2 linked regions of the Callithrix jacchus genome follow. The protein of the gene in region 1 purifies or fractionates together with the protein of each later gene. This does not show direct contact. Links are inferred from orthologs where the notes say so. Each region holds a gene or a part of one and is shown on either strand. Other genes may lie near its edges. The genes, in order: LZTR1 and RIT1.

What was found.
Region 2: the proteins of LZTR1 (region 1) and RIT1 purify together in Homo sapiens (affinity purification with mass spectrometry; 3 studies listed by BioGRID and IntAct, counting the BioPlex papers as one, with this or other methods). This does not show direct contact. The link is inferred for Callithrix jacchus from reciprocal best matches to the Homo sapiens genes LZTR1 and RIT1.

The regions. Positions count from the first base shown.
Region 1 is NC_133502.1:193,119,900-193,129,908, reverse strand, and holds the end of LZTR1 (leucine-zipper-like transcriptional regulator 1), read left to right. Parts: intron 1-351; coding exon 352-462; intron 463-1,199; coding exon 1,200-1,292; intron 1,293-1,461; coding exon 1,462-1,557; intron 1,558-1,641; coding exon 1,642-1,807; intron 1,808-2,101; coding exon 2,102-2,271; intron 2,272-2,412; coding exon 2,413-2,569; intron 2,570-2,891; exon of another isoform or gene 2,892-2,980; intron 2,981-3,266; coding exon 3,267-3,393; intron 3,394-3,482; coding exon 3,483-3,632; intron 3,633-4,224; coding exon 4,225-4,330; intron 4,331-4,416; coding exon 4,417-4,497; intron 4,498-4,764; coding exon 4,765-4,881; 3' UTR 4,882-6,611; downstream 6,612-10,009. Other genes in the region: THAP7 (THAP domain-containing protein 7), read right to left, coding at 7,815-8,367, 8,578-8,718, 9,224-9,546, 9,688-9,771. UniProt on the Homo sapiens protein: Substrate-specific adapter of a BCR (BTB-CUL3-RBX1) E3 ubiquitin-protein ligase complex that mediates ubiquitination of Ras (K-Ras/KRAS, N-Ras/NRAS and H-Ras/HRAS).
Region 2 is NC_133519.1:16,272,789-16,283,296, reverse strand, and holds the start of RIT1 (GTP-binding protein Rit1), read left to right. Parts: upstream 1-5,132; 5' UTR 5,133-5,632; coding exon 5,633-5,640; intron 5,641-5,713; coding exon 5,714-5,862; intron 5,863-6,011; coding exon 6,012-6,068; intron 6,069-10,508. Other genes in the region: KHDC4 (KH homology domain-containing protein 4), read left to right, coding at 1-46, 1,530-1,729.

The sequences.
Region 1 (10,009 bases):
GGAGACTGAGGCCCAGAGAAATACTTGCTTGGGGTCACGCCACAAAGGAGGTGCAGGGCTGGGAGCCCTCGCCCAGCTGTCCAGGTTGCAGCTTTCTGGGGTCAGTGACACACACTGGCCTGAGTGCCCTGCCCACTCTGAGGGTCTTCATGGCCCATAATACCCCACTCGCCTGCATGGGCACCAGCTCCCACCTGTGTCTGTAGCTGTACCCAGGGCCCTCCTCCCTTGGGAATCCTGCCGCCTGGCCCTTCATGGCCATGAAGTACCATATCCTTGCCCTTACCTGGCTGCACCAACTCCACTGTGGAGGCTCCGCCCCCCATCCTACCTTGTCTTGTTGTCCCCCAGCTACCCAGTGGGAGGCTCTTCCATGCAGCTGCTGTCATCTCGGATGCCATGTACATCTTCGGGGGCACGGTGGACAACAATATCCGCAGCGGGGAGATGTACAGGTTCCAGGTGTGGGGCCTGTGGGCCTGCAGGGCCAGCTGGGTGGACAGGTCCCCATGATGGAAAACAGGCCAAGTGGCGGGGGGCGGGCGGGACTTACCCAGACTGTTGCCAGAGCCATACCTGGCAGGATGGAAGCCTTGGGAGGAGCCGTCTGGGCTGAGGGCAGGCTGAGGTGGCACTAAAGTGGGCAGCCTCTGTGCAGAGTGGGGCAGGTGAGTGGTGCTGGGGCTCATGGCAGAGGCAGTGGAGGGAGCTGGGCCAAGCTGGGCTCAGCACTGGAGCCTCACAGGCATCACAGCCTGGCCCAGGGCTGACAGTGGCTTGTGTTGACAGTCCCTTCCCAGGCCTGGAGGAGCAAGTGGTCAGGGCAGGGACTCACAGCCACAGTGAGGTCAGGGCGGCTTCCTGGAGGAGACTGGGGTGTGCTGGTGGGGGCCAGCATGCGGACACGGGTCCAGGCAGAGTGGAGGCAGCAGAACTCTACTGGGGCCTAACAGAAGGTGGGACTGGTGGGGGAGCCCCTTACCTGCTATGGGGCCATGGACAGTTGCAGGTGCCCAGGCTGAACCCAGGCCATCGCTTCAGGGTGGGGTGGCGGCTGCTTTCTCTCCTTAAGGTGCATCTGCCTCCTGTGCCCTGAGGGTCAGCATGGGCCAGGTAGGGACCTCAGGGTCAGCCTGCGTGGCTATACTGAGGCCACTCTGCCGACCTCAACATCTGGCCTCACTGGGCCCCTCCTGCAGTTCTCCTGTTATCCTAAATGCACGCTGCACGAGGACTATGGGCGGCTGTGGGAGAGCCGTCAGTTCTGCGACGTGGAGTTCGTGCTGGGTGAGGTGGGTGCCTGTCCTCGTGCCCTGCTCCGCCTGCTGTGCCCAGGCAGTGGGAACTTCAGCCCTCAGAAAAACAGCTGCTGGCCCAGTGGTGCCGACCCTGGTCAGCTGGGTCTCTGTTCTCTGGGGTGAGGGTCCCCTGCCTTCTGCCCATGCATCATTCTTTGTGCAGAAGGAGGAGTGCGTGCAGGGCCATGTAGCCATTGTCACAGCGCGGAGCCGCTGGCTTCGCAGGAAGATCACGCAGGCACGGGAGTGGTTGGCCCAGGTGAGGTGCTCACCTGCCCTGTCTTCACCTGACAGCCATGCCTGTTGTCCACTGGGGTGCCCTTGAGCTCCCTTCTCCCCACAGAAGCTGGAGCAGGAGGCCACCCCAGTTCCCAGGGAGGCCCCCAACATGGCTTCGGGTGGGGCCCGGCCGCCCCTGCTGCACGTGGCCATCCGGGAGGCCGAGGCCCGGCCCTTTGAGGTGCTCATGCAATTCCTCTACACCGACAAGATCAAATACCCACGGAAAGGTCCGTCTGGGTGGGGGTGGAGCAGGATTGGTATGGGTTGGGGTGTGGGCAGCAGAGCCAGGAGGTGGGTGCTGCTAACCCTGCCTTACTGATGGGGCCTGAAGCTCGGAGGCTGCGGTGATGAGTGGCACCCTCATCACTCATGATCACTGCAGCTGGTTGCCATCTGAGGCCCCTGAGACCTTGTTCCCACCTGGTGGCCCCAACCCACATTCTTTCATGGGGGGAGCCCTGGGCCCTGGGCCCCACCCTCCCCTTCCTGGCTCCCTGAGACTTGGGGGCTCTGGAGCGCAGGCCACGTGGAGGATGTGCTGCTCATCATGGATGTGTACAAATTGGCGCTGAGCTTCCAGCTGTGCCGCCTGGAGCAGCTGTGCCGCCAGTACATCGAGGCCTCCGTGGACCTGCAGAACGTGCTGGTCGTGTGCGAGAGTGCCGCCCGGCTGCAGCTGAGCCAACTCAAGGTGTGGGGTGAGGTCAGCGCGACCAGGGCTGGGTGGGGTGTGCTCAGGTCTAGGCCCCCTCCCTGCCTACCACTGTGAGTCCCTCACCCTGCCTGAAGCCCTGGCTTGACCCCACCTGCCTGCCTGTGCCTGTCTGCCCAGGAGCACTGTCTGAACTTCGTGGTGAAGGAGTCCCACTTCAACCAGGTGATCATGATGAAGGAGTTCGAGCGCCTCTCCTCCCCACTGATTGTGGAGATTGTGCGGCGGAAGCAGCAGCCGCCTCCTCGTACTCCCTCGGACCAGCCGGTGGACATTGGTAGGAAGCCCCATTCCCCTTCCCTGGGGGCTGGGAGTGATGGTGTTCATCTGTGGCAGGAGACTTGGGAGCCGTAGCACCTGCCAGGCCCTTGGGGTGGGTGCCATGGGACCCCAGAGTGCTCTCCTGGGTATAGGGCAGAAACAGATAGAGGCAGAAGCCCCTGACCCATGGGGCTTGCCACAGTGGGCTGTGTCCTGGTGAGCTGGAATTTCCTGAGCTGATTTCTGGGGGTGGATATGGGGCACCTCTTTCGGGATGTCAGGTCTGATGGCCCAGTCACAATGATCAATCTCTGGACTTTTTGCTTGTAATGTCACAGGCCCCTTCATTCCCCCAGCTCTCCCTGGGGCCTGTGCTGACCCCAGTTGCTGGCTCTTGGTGACATCTGCAGACAACAGAAGCCATGCGGTGGGCCTGGAGGGGGATTGATCATGAGGGCAGCAAGGGGGCACAGCAGGCTGGGTGGAAGATGAGATGCTGGGAGGAGGACTGTGTGTGGGGTGCTCGAGTCGGCCAGGGTGCCAAGGGAGGACAGAATGTGGCTGATGGTGCCTCAGGGCCAGAGTGAAGCCTCCTGCCTGCATGAAGTTTTGTTTAGGGAAGCAACATGGGCAGATGTGCAGGAAGGTAGTGCTGTGGGGCCTCAAGACCAGAATCCCAGGCTGTACCTGCTCAGGGTCCCTCCCACCCCCAGGCACGTCTCTCATCCAGGACATGAAGGCATACCTAGAGGGGGCAGGTGCAGAGTTCTGTGACATCACATTGTTGCTGGATGGGCACCCACGGCCGGCCCATAAGGCCATCCTGGCCGCCCGCTCCAGGTGGGTAGGGCTGGATAGGAGGGGAGGGTGGGCCTGAATGGTGTCTTCATTTCGCTGAGAGCCGGATGTCTTCCACTTGCTGTCTGCAGCTACTTTGAAGCCATGTTCCGGTCCTTCATGCCCGAGGATGGGCAGGTGAACATCTCCATCGGGGAGATGGTGCCCAGCAGGCAGGCCTTCGAGTCCATGCTGCGCTACATCTACTATGGAGAGGTCAACATGCCACCTGAGGACTCGCTGCATCCTCATGCCCCAGGGAACTCCCAGATCCCCACTGACAGGTCCCAGCACCTGCCTTGGGCAGCTTTGAGGCCCCCTGGGTGCCTCAGCACCTCCCTCCAGAGGATTTGCTGGTGCCTGGGGCGGGGCCTGGTGCTCTCTGAAGCAGGTGGCAGCTGGCAGGGAGGGGTTTGCAGCCAGGAGGAACCAGTGGGTTCCTGACCCTCACAATTGCCCAGAGGATGGGGTGGGTTATTGCTTTGTGTGACAGTTGAGCACAGATGTGGTGCTACTAGTCTTATGTCACTTCAGTAGGGGTCTGAACATGGGGGGTCAGGATGCCTGTTAGGCCTTCAAGGTCATGGAACAGTGCTGCAGATGTGCAGACAGTATCTTTCTAGGGAGGGGATTTGCGGTTTTCTTTGGATCTTGAATGAGACCTTTGATCCACTAAGTAATTCAGAATCCATTTAGAGAGCCTGCTGTCGTCTGGGCTGGATTGGAGCGTGGCCTCTAGTGAGCTTGGGACTCCAGCTGTGCGCCTCCCTGTCCTTCCCTGGGAGGGTGTGGGTGGACCAGCTTCCTTTGGTCAGCTCCTTAACCAGGCCCCAGCTACCTGTTTGCGGCCCCCTACTATTACGGCTTCTACAACAACCGGCTGCAAGCGTACTGCAAGCAAAACCTAGAGATGAACGTGACAGTGCAGAATGTGCTGCAGGTAGCCTCCCAGCCCTGTGCCCATGGCTGCAGCTGCTAGTGAGCGGGGGTGAAAGGGGCAGCACCTCAAGGTCCCTGTCGTTGCAGATCCTGGAGGCGGCTGACAAAACCCAGGCACTGGACATGAAGCGGCATTGCCTGCACATCATCGTGCACCAGTTCACCAAGGTCGGGGCTCTGGCCTCCCCTTCAGGACTTGCTTCCTCTTGGTAGTGACCATGCCTGGGCAGGGAGGCGTGCCCAGGCTCTGTGGTCTCCTGCAGTTGTGGGCCCTGGGAGTGAGCGAAATACGAGTAGCTCCCAACTGGCTGCACTTAGCCCCATCCTCGGGACCAGCCTGAGCCCTGAGCAGGGTGGGCCATAGAAGGCTCTGCTGCCCACCCTGGCCCTTATGTGGATCTGGTACCATCTCCTTCTGGCCTGGTTGCCTTGCAGGTCTCCAAGCTGCCCACGCTGCGGTTGCTGAGCCAGCAGCTGCTGCTGGATATCATAGACTCCTTGGCCTCCCACATCTCTGACAAGCAGTGTGCGGAGCTGGGCGCCGACATCTGAGACCCTGTGGCGCCTACCCAGTGTGACGAATTGCCATGCCTGCCTGCCCTGCCCACTAAGAAGACTGTACTGGCCACACACGTGCCTATGGCAGAGTGGGTGCACCTGCCAGGCCAAGGGCACCCAGAGCCTCCAAAGAGAGCTGAGGGGATGTGTGGCCCCAGATGCCTCAATTTACCGAGGACACAGGTTCCACAGGGAGCGGATGATGAAGCAGACCCCGTCCCCTGCTGGCACCCTCTCCTGGTGTAGTGTGGGTGCACGGTCACGGCTCAGTGATGGGGACACCAACCAGAAGTGGGGAGGGATGGGCTTCCCACCCTGTGGAGCTCGGCCTGGCGTCCGAAGCTTGGGTGTATTGTAGACCCAAGCACTGGGGCCTGTCACTAAGGCCCTTCCAACATGCAGAAGGAGGCCTGGCAGAATTGCCCCTACACCAGGGAATCTGTCTGGGCTACTCCTGCCCTGTCCACCCTCACTGAGATCCATGTAAGGGGCTCTTCCTCCCATTGGAACTTGAGTGGGGATTATATGTAGGTCTCACATGACTTGAGGTGAATCTTGGAGTGAAGGGCTCTGAGGTCAGCTCCCAGGTTGGCTGGGCCTGATTTTCACAGGGACTGAAGGATCCCAGCCCCACTGTGTGCATGTCAGGGCTCAGGGCTGGGCCAGGAAGAAGCCAGCAAAGTCCCCTGTGTCCCTCACTGAGTATTCTGTCATAGATAAGCCTTGATTAAAGCCACAGCAGTGCTACCCACCACATACACTTTGCTGGCCTGGCCACCATTGCTGGCCTCAGCCCCTCAGCCTGCCTGCAGCCAAGGACTGGCTCTGTGGCCCATGGCTTGGCAGACCTCCAGATGTAGGTTAGTTGGTCTTACCTGTTTCTAGCTATGCTGTCAACTCCTTTCTCAACCTGGGGTGACCCGGTCACACTGGAGAGAAGAGCTGTGGAGGCCTCCAAGCTGGCCCCTCCCGGGGGAATCCTGGAGTGGGCTCCTGCCCTGTCTTGCCTCTGTACTGTGCTCTTGGCTGCTGTGGTAGGTGGGCTGCCCTCTTGCCCTAGTGAGGACCACATGTGAATCCACTCTGATGCTGGGGAACCAGTGTTCCCTTACTGGGAACAGGATTCCAGGACCCCTTTTTTGGTCATGGCTGCCATGAAGCCATAGCTCACCTTGGGGAAGTGACCTGCTCTTTTCTGGCTTTAGAGTTCATTTTCCTCCTTTGCCTGTGGCTGTGTGCACATGTATGGGGGGCCCTGAGTGGCAAGTTGCTTAGCTAACAGGAGAAATCCATAGGCAGCCCACAGGCTAGGAAGTGGCCTGGTCCAAGATGAGCTGGGAAACAAGGGAGAGCAGGAGCAGGGGCAGGGGCAGAGGCTGAGCCAAAAGGCCCTGTTGTGAGGACACAGAAGCCCAGGGCTATGGCTGGTGGTGGGGGGGATTATGTCAACACATGGAAGTAGAGTGCAGACCAGGGCAGCCAGCCAAGGGGGCCAGGTGTGAGTCACTCAGTGGGGTCACAGAACCACCTACCATTTCCACAAGATGTCTCTTGCCACTCCTACAGGGCAGCTTCCTCCAAACCCCTTCTGGAGGGGCCAGCCCAGAAGCCTCCTTGAACTAGTCTGCAAACCCTGCTCTACGCTGACCTTGTCACTGAACCCTCAATTGTCTTTTCTAGACATGATGTGAATAAATGAAATTACATGTGAAGGGTCCTAAAAAGCAAATTTTACAAAAATTTTTTGGCAGTTTCTGGGACTAAAATGAATTCAGTTGTGTTCCTTGGCAGGGAAAGGCCAAACTTGCAGTGAGAATCATCCCACGCATGGAGCTGTTTGAGAATCAGCTGTGACAAGGCCTTCCAGGTTTCTGGGAGTTGAAGGAAAAGGATGCTGAGGCCAGGACCCAAGTGCTTGTCTACAAGTTCTAGCCACCTCTTCCCAGACTTCCAGGGACTAGAAATGTCACTTGGGTCTTCACTACTTGCTGGCGTGCCCCAGGAGGCTGATCATTGTCATTGTCCGTTTTTTTTTTCTTTTTTTTTTTGAGATGGAGTTTCCCTGTTGTTACCCAGACTGGAGTGCAATGGCACAATCTCGGCTCACTGCAACCTCCGCCTTCTGGGTTCAAGCAATTCTCCTGCCTCAGCTTCCCAAGTAGCTGGGACTACAGGTGCGCACCACCATGCCCAGCTAACTTTTATATTTTTAGTAGAGACGGGGTTTCACCATGTTGACCAGGATGGTCTCGATCTCTTGACCTCGTGATCCACCCGCCTCGGCCTCCCAAAGTGCTGGATTATAGGCGTGAGCCACCGCGCCCGGCCCCGTTTTTCAAATAGAGACAGCAGTGAAGGGAGCAGCGAGGGGGTTGCCCTGTTTACCCACCAGGCAGATGAAGTCTGTGGACAAGCCTGTCATGCACCTGTTTGAGAACTGAATCCAGACTGGGTTTTAGGAGTGTTCTCAAAGGGGCTGGCTGACTTAAATTGGGGCTGTTTCAGATCCTGTGGAAGGGGTGCCTTGAACTGCTTTCCTGGCCCCTACTCACAACATCCTGCCCCCTACTCACAACATCCTGCCCCTTCAGAAAACTGTGGGGCATGGAGCTGCAATGGCTGGCTGCTACCGGTCTACCAGAAGCTCTGAGGGGTGAAAGCCAGGCTTTCTGCTCTCCCTGGCGAAGAGCTTGGACTGAGCTCTTCTGAGAGCAGAGCTGAGAGTGAGCCCTCTGGGAGCTGCAGCCACTGTCTGGGGGCAGCAAGCTTAGTACCCAGAGGGGCTCCAGCCCCCAGCTGAGCCAGACAGCAGGGCCTCCTTCTAGAATCCACTTTATTATGGCACCTGGTGGTTATGGTGGATTCTGAGGGAGAAGGAGGCTGCACCCTTGCTAGGCAGCCCCTCGGTCAGTCCAGTGGCCCCTCCCTCAGGCTATGCTGTTGCTCAGCTGCATGGCAAAGTCCTGTACATGCTCCTTCAGAGTCTGGCGGGCATCTGCCTGTGCCCGCTTCTCCCGTGCCCGCTCCTGCTGCAGCTTGGTCAGTCTCAGCCGCAGCCGCTGCTCCCGTCGCTTGCAGGCCTGCAGCTGGCGCTGGGCCTTGTCGAGGGCATCAAGAGCTGCCTCAGCTCGCCGCTTCCAGAGCAAGGCGCTGCCCACCTGGTAGCTGTGTTCATTCTGGATGTAGGCTCCGGCGGGTGGCGGCAGGCGCAGCATGTAGGCTGAGGGGGAGACTGGCCGTGGCTCGAGAGGGGAGGGCTGTGGCTCTGGTGAAGGCTGGGCACTGCAGCCTGCTTCATCTGCCTGGGCACCCAGGGGGCCCAGAAGGTCTGAAAAGGGGCTGCTAAGGCCAGGCTCCAGCCTCCCAGCTGGGGAGGCTGGCAAAGTGGCAGGTGCTGAGGCCTCTTCCACAGGAAAGCAGGTGACATCAGCAGGTGGAGGTGGAGAAAATGGAGTTGTGGGCCCTCGGCCCTCGGAGCAGCTGGTAAGGGGGAAGAGAGAGGCTGATGGGCTAGGCTGAGGGCCTGCCAGACCCCACTCCACCAGCCCACCTAACCCCCCAACACCCAAACCTGATCCACAGGTTCTGTGCAGCAAGAACCCTGTCCGGCTAGACTGCTGGCAGATGACCCAGAGCCCAGTCCCTTGGCCTAGGGGTGGGAGTGGGGCTTTCCCCACCAGTACCACATACCGCTTCCTGCATCGCCTGAGCCGGGTGACTTCAGTGGGACCAGATGGGTAACTGTGCCCCTTGGTCTTGGATGTCCGGCGCAACTTGGAGAAAGACTCGAATATGGTGGGGACTGCTCCCTCCTTTAGCCTGTGATACCCGCTGTGGGGAAAAGCAGCCCAGATGAGCTGGAGAGCAAGTGCTGCCTCCCCGAGCCAATGTACCCCCGGCACCCTGGAACAGCTTCCCCAGCACTAGCGCCGTGGGAGGCTGGAAAGCATCGTGCAAACAGTAAGTCTCAGGGATGCCAAGTTAGAGCTACACCAATCGCTTCCCTGCAGTACTCCTCAAAGTCGAGGTGTGTGGAAAGCCTGCACAAGCAGAGCTGGGCTGACCTGCCAAAAAGAATTCTTTGATTTGTGGACTCGCTGGCAGGACTGGGGCTCTGAAGAACACTCTCTGGAAAGGCTCATGTTTTTCCCTTGTGTCACTGGCAGTGATCCTGGGGGAGGGTTTCATTGTACAGAGCTCGGAAGAGGATACAGACCCCTTGGAAGCAGGTCGGCCTGCCTGGCAGGCTGCTCAAGGGACTTCCAGGACCTGCAGCTGCCCCAATCCGCCTGAAGCTCCACATCCTACCCCAATGTTGGCTGGCAGGGAGGCCCACCTGATTCCCACCAGCTCAAAGCAGTTCTCCTCAAAGTGTTTGGAGCAGAAGTAGATGTACTCGGATGCTGGGTCCCACAGGCCCTGGCCGCTGGGGTCCAGCCGCTGGCAGTTGGCCAGCCACAAGCCTCGCCTCGGGTTGTCCTTCTTGGGAAGTCTGTGGAGCCACAAACCCATGAGCAGTAGACTGTCCGCAGCCCTGGGCTCATGCTGCCCAAGCTCCCCGCTGGGGAAAAGCAGACCCAACACGCACCGCCACGAGACCTCCCTGCGACCCCGCCGGGTAAGCACCACCCGCCCGGGCACAGACGAAGCAATGGAGGCCTAGAGAAGAAAAGCAGTTTGCTCAGCGTCATCTGGCAGGTAAGAGTCAGAGCGGGGCAGGTCCGAGGCTAGACTTCCCGTTCTCCCCTTCCCGACAGCACTTGGTCCCACTGGGACCATCCCGCTTCACTTCCCACCCACAGGTTCAAGGTTCCTCAGGACCCGAGAAAGGCGCGAAGCGTCTACACAGTTGCGGCCCAACGAGGCGCGCAGCAACCAGCGCATGCGCACGTCAGCCCGCGCACGCGCGCCGACCTGTGGAAGGAGATGCCGCGGCTGCGCGTCTCGCGCGTGTCCCGTGTGCAGCAGCCGGCGGCGGAGCAGTGACGCGGCATCTAGGGAAGAGGCGGGAGTTAAGTCGCGAGTGGCTGTCTGGGGATCCAGAGGAGCCTCGCGCCTTCAGCCGCCGCTCCTCCCCAGGGGGGTTCTGGCCCGTGGAGTCTACCCCGGCTCCCGGCTTGTT
Region 2 (10,508 bases), on another chromosome or scaffold:
GAGTCTGATGAAAGGAATGGGTCTGGGACCTTAACAGGGAGCCATGGTAAGTATGGTATAGCTGGGGGACAGGGGAGTGACTAAGTAAGGCTGGTCTAGAGCTATTAGTTTTCTCGGCCAGGCACGGTAGCTCACGCCTGTAATCCCAGCACTTTGGGAGGCCAAGGTTGGTGGATCACCTGAGGTCAGGAGGTCAAGACCAGCCTGACGAACATACTGAAACCCTATATCTACTAAAAATAAAAAAAACTAGCTGGGCGTGGCAGGGGCTGCCTGTAATCCCAGCTACTTAGGGGGCTGAGGCAGGAGAATCACTTCAACCTGGGAGTTGGAGGTTGCAGTGAGCCAAGATCATACCACTTCCCTCCAGCCTGGGCAATAGAGTGAGGCTCTGTCTCAAAAATAAATTAATAAATAAAGCTGGGATTAGTTTTCTAACCTGATATTCATTCAGGTGTTTAATCCAACCTCTATAATCTACTGGCTAATGAAAATACTTTTGGGCCAGGCACGGTGGCTCACGCCTGTAATCCCAGCACTTGGGAGGCCGAGGCAGGCGGATCACCTGAGGTCAGGAGTTTGAGACCAGCCTGGCTAACACAGAGAAACTCCGTCTCTACTAAAATAGAAAAATTAGCCAGCTTGGTGGTATGTGCCTGTCATCCCAGTGACTTGGAAGGCTGAGGCAGGAGAATCGTTTGAACCTGGGAAGTAGAAGTTGCAGTAAGTCAAGATCACAACACTGCATTCCAGCATGGGCAACAGATTGAGACTGTCTCAACTAAAAAAGAAAATAGTGAAAAAAACTTGTATATGGACAACCATTTATTCCAACCAACATGCGTCTAGGAAAGGGCTAGTCAACTTATTTTATACATAGCATCAGTGACATTAAAACCCTAGGGAATACTAATGAGTGCTAGGTCATATCAAAATCCTGTTGCCTATGTTGTGTGAATACCTGGAGTTAATCTGATACGGACTTCCTAAAAGTTGATTTTGCTTTGTATTGGGAGCTGAGCCACACCTCCCCTTATAGTTCTCTTGGTCAATCTGTGGCTGTTAGGAAAGTACTGCTTTTTAGCATCCCAGAACTCTAAATCCTATAGACGGATATGGAATATTTTTGTTCTTTGCCTGTAGTCATAAAAATGAACAGAAGAAAATTCACGTTTTTTTCTTTTCTTCTTTTCTTTTAACTCTTTAAAAGGTGAAATATCAGCCCTCAAGAGACTCACTTGCTAACTTTCCTTTTTTTCTTTTTTCTTTTTTTTGTGTTTCTTTTTTCTTTCTCTGTTTTCTTACATGGTTCTGGTGGATTCACATTTGCTGATGCCGGTGCTGTTTTTCGTGTGATCTTCAACGGTTTTGGGCGACCACTGACCCTATGACCTCAAAATGGTGTCCAACTAACCACTTAAAATTAACATCTTTTTTTTATTAACGAATTTATGGTATTATCTTTTTTTGTTGTTTTTTTTTTTTTCCCTTGGTGGGGATGGGGTTGGGGTTGTTTTTCTCTATTCTAGATTATCCAGCCAAGAAGATGAAAACTACAGAGAAGGGATTTGGCTTGGTGGCTTATGCTGCAGATTCATCTGATGAAGAGGAGGAACATGGAGGTCATAAAAATGCAAGTAGTTTTCCACAGGGCTGGAGTTTGGGATACCAGTATCCTTCATCACAACCACGAGCTAAACAACAGATGCCATTCTGGATGGCTCCCTAGGAAACTGTGGAACAGAGTTTTGACCCTCGGTGACTCTTCTTAGCAATAATGCATGCATTTGATTTAACAAGACTCTGGGGCCTGTGCTGGGAACCATCTTGGATCTTTGCAGAAGTTAGAGATTCAATGCCCCCTTTCTTAAAGGGGTTCCTTAAAAAAAAAAATCCTTATTTCTGCGGTGGCATAGAATCTTAAAATTTAATTAGAATCATAAATTTATCTCAGAAGCTTTTTAACAGTTGGTGAAACGTGCTTGTCCAACAAAGCGTCCTAAAACAGGGTCGTTCCCATACACGTTTGACCTGGTCCAGCCTCTTCCAAATGAATAGCCCCAATTCTGACTTAAAGAAAGTTTTATTTGTATTTTAGTACTGTTTGGTCAATTTTGATACATAACTGGTTACAAAGCCTTACTGTTTATTAATGGGAAATGATTTTAGACCGTTCTTTTTGGTATTTAATTCTGACAGATCTGCATCCCTGTTTTGTTTTGGATTATTTCTGTTTTGGAAAATGCTGTCTCATTTAAAACTGTTGGATATAGCTGGATCCTGGATAGGAAAATGAAGTTATTTTTTTCATTGTGTTTTTTAATTGGGGTGATCCAAAGCCGGCACCTTCAGACACATTTGTCTTATAGCCATTGCTGTTTTTATTGCCCTTCTAAGATCCTGTCTTCAGCTGGGTCAGAGAAAACAAGAATTCTTGACTAGAACTGGTCAGAACTCATCACACAAATGAAACACAGTAGTCTGTCTCTCTCAGAACTGTTTGCAGCTAAAATGGAGAGATCTGACTGCCTGCAGTAGGACTTTGGACTTAATGACTGAAATTGCAACTTGTCCTTTTTCTTGGCATTACAGGTTTTGCCAAAAGAACTTTTTTGTATCAAATCTTGATGTGTGAAAGTGAAGGAGCTAGTCTGCTGAACCAGGAGTAGTTTGAGATACTGAACTGTCATTTTTGCACATTTGAATACTTTGCAGGCTGGCTTTGTATAAACTTACCCTCTGGTTTCCTATATGTTGTAAATATTGAGACCATAATTTCATTATAAATAAATGTATAAATATTCTGTTTGCGGTTTCTCTGTTTTCTTCCACAACCCATCCATACACTAAAATTCATAAACTTGTTTACTCATAGCCTAATGCAATATAATATCAGAAAAATACATATACAGACCCCAAGATTTACATTTAGTTCCGAGAGTTCTGTAACTGCAAAATGTACACTTAAAGTTCCATTTTCATATTTTAGCCCTCCTTAATTAAACAGACTGTTAAAGAGACTTCATGGGCCGGGCGTGGTGGCTCACACCTGTAATCCCAGCACTTAGGGAGGCCAGGGTGGGTGGATCACGAGGTCAAGAGATTGAGACCATCTTGGTCAACATGGTGAAACCCCGTCTCTACTAAAAATACAAAAAACTTAGCTGGGCGTGGTGGCGCGTGCCTGTAATCCCAGCTACCCAGGAGGCTGAGGCAGAAGAATTGCCTGAACCCAGGAGGCGGAGGTTGCGGTGAGCCAAGATCGTGCCATTGCACTCCAGCCTGGGTAACAAGAGTGAAACTCCGTCTCAAAAAAAAAAAGACTTCATGAATGAAGCCTATTTTATTTTATTTTTGAGATGGAGTCTCGCTCTGTTGCCCAGGCTAGAGTGCAGTGGCACGATCTTGGTTCACTGAAACCTCTGCCTCCTGGGTTCAAGCGATTCTCACCTCAGCCTCCTGAGTAGCTGGGATTACAGGCACGCGCCACCACACCCAGCTAATTTTTGTATTTTTAGTAGACGGGGTTTCACCATGTTAGGCTGGTCTCAAACTCCTGACCTCATAATCCACGTGCTTTGGCCTCCCAAAGTGCTGGGATTACAGGCGTGAGCCACCACACCTGGCCCTGTTTTATTTATTTTTTTTGAGACGGAGTTTCACTCTAGTTACCCAGGCTGGAGTGCAATGGCGCAATCTTGGCTCACTGCAACCTCTGACTCACAGGTTCAAGCAATTCTGCCTCAGCCTCCTGAGTAGCTCGGATTACAGGTGCAAGCCACCATGCCCCACTAATTTTGTATTTTTATAGAGATGGGGTTTCTCCAATTGGATAGGCTAGTCTCCAACTCCTGACCTCAGGTGATCTGCCCTCAGCCTCCCAAAGTGTTGGGATTTACAGGTGTGAGCTACCTCGCCCAGTGAATGAAGCAGATTTTAAAGGAAATAGATTACTCTTGGAAAGCCTTTTTATTTTTTGAGATGGAGTCTTGCTGTGTCGGCTAGGCTGGAGTGCAATGGTGCAGCCTTGGTTCACTGCAACCTCTGCCTCCCGAGTGATTCTCCAATGTCAGCCTCCTGAGTAGCTGAGATTACAGGTACCTACCCCATGCCTGGCTAATTTGTATTTTTAGTACAGACAGGATTCCACCATATTGGCCAGGCTGGTCTCGAGCTCTGGACCTCAAGTGATCCGCCCAGAAAGACTTTTTTTTTTGGAAACCCGAGTCTTGCCCTGTTGCAAGGGTGGAGTGCAGTGGCTCGATCTAGGCTCACTGCAACATCCACCTCCTGTGAGTAATTGGGACTACAGGCATGTGCCACCATGCCCTGCTAATTTTTTTGTATTTTTAGTCGAGGGGGGGTTTCGCTATTTTGGCCAGGATAGTTGATCTCTTGATCTTGTGATCCACCTGCCTTGGCCTCTCAAAGTGCTGGGATTACAGGCGTTAGCCACCGTACCTGGCCCAGAAAGACATTTAAAAATAACAGTTGTGGGAGCGAGGGTGGGGGATGATAAAACAGTTGTGGACAGAGCTGCATCAGAACAATTTTCCATTGTCAGTTTCTTCTAGCATCTGTGCTACCTAAATAGTCTGTTTAAAACAAGGTTTTGTGTATCTTATATGTGTTTAAAATATAGAACTCTGGTTAGGAAGTGTGAAATCTAGTTTTTGAGAATGAATCGAGGTTTCAATAGCCAAAGTCTTTGTGGCTGCTCCTTTGGGAAAGTGATTTTTCTGCTATGAAGCATTTATCTTGATCCCAATCCTGTGTTAGGAGGATTTGGGGAGTGCCCCTTTCCTCACTTCCTCTTAACTGTATTATGCCAAATTAGTTTCGTTTTGTTTCACAAGCAGCAAACAACTCTGGGTAAGTTGTTAACGTTTTTAGTGTCCCTGCATGTCTGTTATCACTTACTCTTTGGTTTTGTGTAAATAATTTACTTTCTACTCCTGATTACCCATGTCTGTGTGTGCATACACCCTAGGCTGGATAGGTGACCAGAAGGCCTTTAGCGGTGAGTCCCGGAACTGGGTTTAGGGACCTGGGGTGGGAAGGGATGGGAAGAGGCGGGAAGAAGGCGGGGCAGGCTGTGGGGCGTCATGGGGCGGCCCCGCCCCTCCATCAGCGACGGGCGCCAGTGGCGCCATCTTACCCAGCTGCGGGAGGGGTCACAGGTCAGTACTGGATCCTCTGCGAGGGAAGGAAGACGAGGTGGGTGACCCGACAGGCCGTGGTCTTCCAGGCCCCACTGACCCGCAGGAGCAGTAGGGCATCGGCTTGTGAGGCAGAGGGGTGGGGAGTCTGGTGGCGGAGGAGCAGCTGGGGGCCGGGATGGGTCTCAGAGGAGAATGGGGAGGGGGTGGAACCTCCGGGTACCTCGGACGTGAGAGGACCCCTGTGGCTTAAGGGGCCGCATCCTTTTCTTCCCAAAACTTTCGGTTTATCCCTACTGTGCCGGGATCTAAATTTCTTTGTATCTTTTTATGTTTCTCCTTGGAAAAAGTAAAACCTGTGATATGTCATGTGACTGAACTGTCTAGGAGGGAGGGTGAAGATTTGGGGGGTTTCTTAGAGCCACCAGAAAGGGTGCAGTTCCGGTGAGCAAGAGGGACAGGCCAGCGTATGTATGGAAAGGTAAGGCACTGGTTTGAGGACTGCCGCCGTGGTGTCTCCATCCTGGATTAAGCATTTCCTCCTCCTTTTCTAGGTGGCTTTTCCTCGGGGCAGCCCAGGAAGGCCCCAAGAGGACAATGGATTCTGGAACTCGCCCTGTTGGTAGCGGCTGCAGCAGCCCCCCTGGGCTCTCACGGGAATACAAACTAGTGATGCTGGGTGCTGGTGGTGTAGGGAAGAGTGGTAGGTAACATTTTCCATTTGACAGGAAGTATGGATGAAAAGTACTTAAATGATCAGATGGGATACTGGCTATCTTGCAGTGTTAATACTTAAAATTCTCTCTATGGGTCACCTTTGTGAGGATTTGACTTTTATGTCTTGTGTTGAAGCCATGACCATGCAGTTCATCAGTCACCGATTCCCAGAAGATCATGATCCCACCATTGGTAAGTAAGATCATCACTCTGTTTCCAAATTACCCCATAAAAATATCTTAATTAATATCAATGGTTTCTAACTATTTATATTTTGAGCCTTTTTTTGGAGTCTAATTCTGATTTATTTAGAAACAAGGGTATCAGCAGTTGGTAAGCAAGTGAATATTTCTTTTTTTCCAGACTTAACTCTATATGTCATAAGCCATCTTTATTTAGTCTCTGTCTCTTATTGAACATTAATGGGACAACTCTCTTTGTTGTATTTTTTTATGGTTGTATAGAGGCCACTTAACGAAGCTTTTTCTTGCTGTCACTTCTCTAAGGGCATGACTTGAGACTGACTCTGTAACTGTGAGTCAGCTGGTTTGAACTTCCACAAAAGGAAGCAGAAAAACAAGTAGAGCCAGCCTGCTGAACTCTGACAACCCAGATGAGCAGAGCCTGGAGGTCTTGCACTTGGAGCTCTTCATTTGCTTCCTTATATCTTAAGTTCATCGTATAGTAATGCCTTCTCCCATATCTTTTTCTTTTCTTTTTTTTTTTTTTTTTTGAGACAGAGTCTCCCACTGTCACCCAGGCTGGAGTGCGGTGGCATGATCTCTTCTGGGTTCAAGATTCTCCTGCCTCAGCCTCCTGAGTAGCTGGGATTACAGGTGCCTGCCACCACCACTGCCCAGTTAATTTTATTTATTTTTATTTATTTATTTATGTATTTATGTATTTATTTTTTGAGGCGGAGCTTCGCTGTTGTTACCCAGACTGGAGTGCAATGGCGCCATCTCAGCTCACCACAACCTCTGCCTTCTGGGTTCAAGCAATTCTCCTGCCTCAGCCTCCTGAGTAGCTGGGACTACAGGCGTGTGCCACGATGCCCAGCTAATTTTTGTATTTTTAGTAGGGACGGGGTTTCACCATGTTGACCAGGATGGTCTCGATCTCTTGACCTCGTGATCCACCTGCCTCGGCCTCCCAAAGTGCTGGGATTATAGTCGTGAGCCACCACGCCCAGCCCCTTATTTATTTTTTTGAGACGGAATTTCGCTCTTGTTACCCAGGCTTGAGTGCAATGGCACGATCTTGGCTCACCGCAACCTCCACATCCTGGGTTCAGGCAATTCTCCTGCCTCAGCCTCCTGAGCAGCTGGGATTACAGGCACACGCCACCATGCCCAGCTAATTTTTTGTATTTTTAGTAGAGACGGGGTTTCACCATGTTGACCAGGATGGTCTTGATCTCTTGTCCTCGTGATCCACCTGCCTCAGCCTCCCAAAGTGCTGGGATTATAGGCATGAGCCACCGTGCCCAGCCCTAATTTTTTTGTATTTTTAAGAGATGGAGTTTGACTGTGTTGGCCAGGCTGGTCTTGAACTCCTGACCTCATGATCTGCCTGCCTCGGCCTCCCAAAGTGCTGGGATTACAGGCATGAGCCACTGCACCCGGCCTTCCTGTCTTTTATAGCCTTTAACTTTTTTTTTTTTTTTTTTTTGAGATGGGGTTTTGTTCTTCTTGCCCAGGCTGGAGTGCAATGGCAGGATCTCAGCTCACTCCAACCTCTGCCTTCCATGTTCAAGTGATTCTACTACCTCAGCTTCCCAAGTAGCTGGGATTAAAAGCATGCACCACCACTCCTGGCTAACTTTGTATTTTTAACAGAGATAGGTTTCTCCATGTTGGTCAGGCAGGTCTCAAACTCCTGACCTCAGGTGATCGACCCATCTTGGCCTCCCAAAGTGCTGGGATTACAGGCATGAGCCACCGCACCCAGTCGATAGTCGTTAACTCTTGATGCAGAATGCTAGTGGAGTAAAAATGTCATTTTGTTTGCTCTGACTTTTTGTTTTTTTAATTGCTAGTCTCTACAAAGAGTAAGGACATTACTGTCATTCCTAAACCATAAGGAAGCAGGTGTGCTCCTAAGAGTTTATATTCTAATATGACAGAAAAATGGATATGGGAATGGGAGAGGGCACAGAAAGTCAGCTATACTACTATTATTTTCAGTATGTGACACTCTTTGCCATGATCCTAGTTCTCTAGGAAGGATTTCCATTGGGTTAGGCCTCTGCTGCTCTGTTTCCCACAGAGCCGATAATGTTTTGCGGTGGCCCAGCCTTGGATGTGGTCATTTTATACATTAGATGATTCCAGGGATTGGGAAAAATAGAAGAAGTTCTTGACTTTTTCATGTACTATATCAAATTTAGAACATTGTTCAGAGATTTAAATTATGGTGGGAGTTCTAGGAATAAATGAATTTAGGGCTTATGATAATTTACTTGAGAACTCCAGAAGCATCTTTTCCCTTCTTTAAAGTAAAGCTCATATACTCATCTCCTGTAAGAGTTACGTTTGTTTTTGTTTTTTTTTGAGACGGAGTTTTGCTCTTGTTACCCAGGCTGGAGTGCAATGGTGCGATCTCGGCTCACCGCAACCTCCACCTTCTGGGTTGAGGCAATTCTCCTGCCTCAGCCTCCTGAGTAGCTGGGATTACAGGCACACGCCACTATGCCCAGCTAATTTTTTGTATTTTTAGTAGAGACGGGGTTTCACCACGTTGACCAGGATGGTCTTGATCTCTTGACCTCGTGATCCACCCGCCTCGGCCTCCCAAAGTGCTGGGATTACAGACGTGAGCCACTGCGCCCAGCTTGTTTTTGTTTTTGTTTTTGTTTTTGAGACATAGTCTCACATTGTTGCCCAGGCTGGAATGCAGTGGTGCAATTTCTGCTCCCTGCAACCTCCACCTCCCGGGTTCAAAGATCATCCTGACTCAGCCTCCTGAATAGCTGGGATTACAGGTGCCTGCCACCATGCCCAACTAATTTTTATATTTTTATTAGAGACAGGGTTTCACTATAATGGCCAGGCTGGTCTCGAACTCCTGACCTCGTGATCCATCCATCTCAGCCTCCCAAAATGCTGGGATTACAGGCATGAGCCATCATGCCCAGCCCAAATTATCTGTCTTAATCAATTTTCCCCCAGTTAACTACTTTCCTGACAATATTATCTGACTCAACAGCACATACTTATGTCTTCTGAGTTTCTGTTACGTACCAAGGACTGCTTAGCCTGTGGGTACAGTGGTGAACAAAAAGATGCGGTTTCTGTTCTTGAGTTTATAGTTTAGTGCATTTGGTTTCAAACTCTGGCTGTATACTCAGAAAAACTTTACATCATAACTAGTAGAGATATAAAAGCATACAAGGCCTAGCGTGGTGGCTCATGCCTGTAATCCTGTAATCGCATTACTTTTGGGAGGCCAAGGCGGGCAGATCACCTGAGGTCAGGAGTTTGAGACCATACTGGCCAACATGGTGAAACCCCATTTCTACTAAAAATACAAAAATTAGCTGGGTGTGGTAGCACACACCTGTAATCCCAGGTACTCAGGAAGCTGAGGTGGGAGAATTGCTTGAACCCAGGAGGTGGAGGTTGCAGTGACCCAAGGTCGCACAACTGTACTCCGGCCTGGGCAACAGAGTAAGACTCTGTCTCAAAAAAAAAAAAAAAGTATATGAATGTGTGCATATGTATGTATTAAATTATATATACAATTATATATACAAGTATACGTGTATATGTAACTAAAATATTACGTAACTTTAACCTCTTTTTCTTTTCTTTCTTTTGAGGCAGGGATTCACTCTGTTGCCCAGGCTGGAGTGCAGTGGTGTGATCTTGGCTCACTGCAGCCTGGACCTCCTGGGTTCAAGTGATCCTCCCACCTCAGCTTCCCAAATACCTGGGACTACAGGCTTGTGCCACTACACCCAGCTAATTTTGTTTTTTTTAGTAGACATGAGGTCTCGCTCTGTTGCCCAGGCTGGTCTTGAACTCTTGAGCTCAAGTGATCTCCCCTTGCCCTCCCAAAGCACTGGGATTACAGCCATGAGAGCCCCTGTACCTGACCCACTGTGGGTCTTTTTTTTTTTTTTCTCCTGAGACAGAGGCTTGCTCTGTTGCCAGGCTGGAGTGCAGTGGCACAGTCTCGGCTCACTGCAACCTCCGCCTCCCGAGTTCAAGTGATCCTTCCACCTCAGCCTCCCAAGTACCTGGGACTACAGGCGTACGCCACCACACCCAACTAATTTTTGTATTTTTGGTAGAGATGGGGTTTCACCATGTTAGCCAGGATGGTCTCGATCTCTTGACCTCATGATCCTCCCTCCTCTGCCTCCCAAAGTGCTGGGATTACAAGCGTGAGCCACCACGCCCAGCCCACTCTGGTATTTTCTACTTTTATTAAGTTTCTGCTTGTTTATTTGAATGCTGGTCTCAGCCCATTAAGTAGATTTCACAACTCACTAATCCTAAGGAATTATTGAGAAGCATTGATTTAGTTGGCTCTTCATCTTTGAAGAAGAGTCAGAAGCAAGAATTCAAGAAAAAATGTTAAAAGGAAATACATTGAGATGTAAATAGTTGTTAAGTGAATAAAATGTTG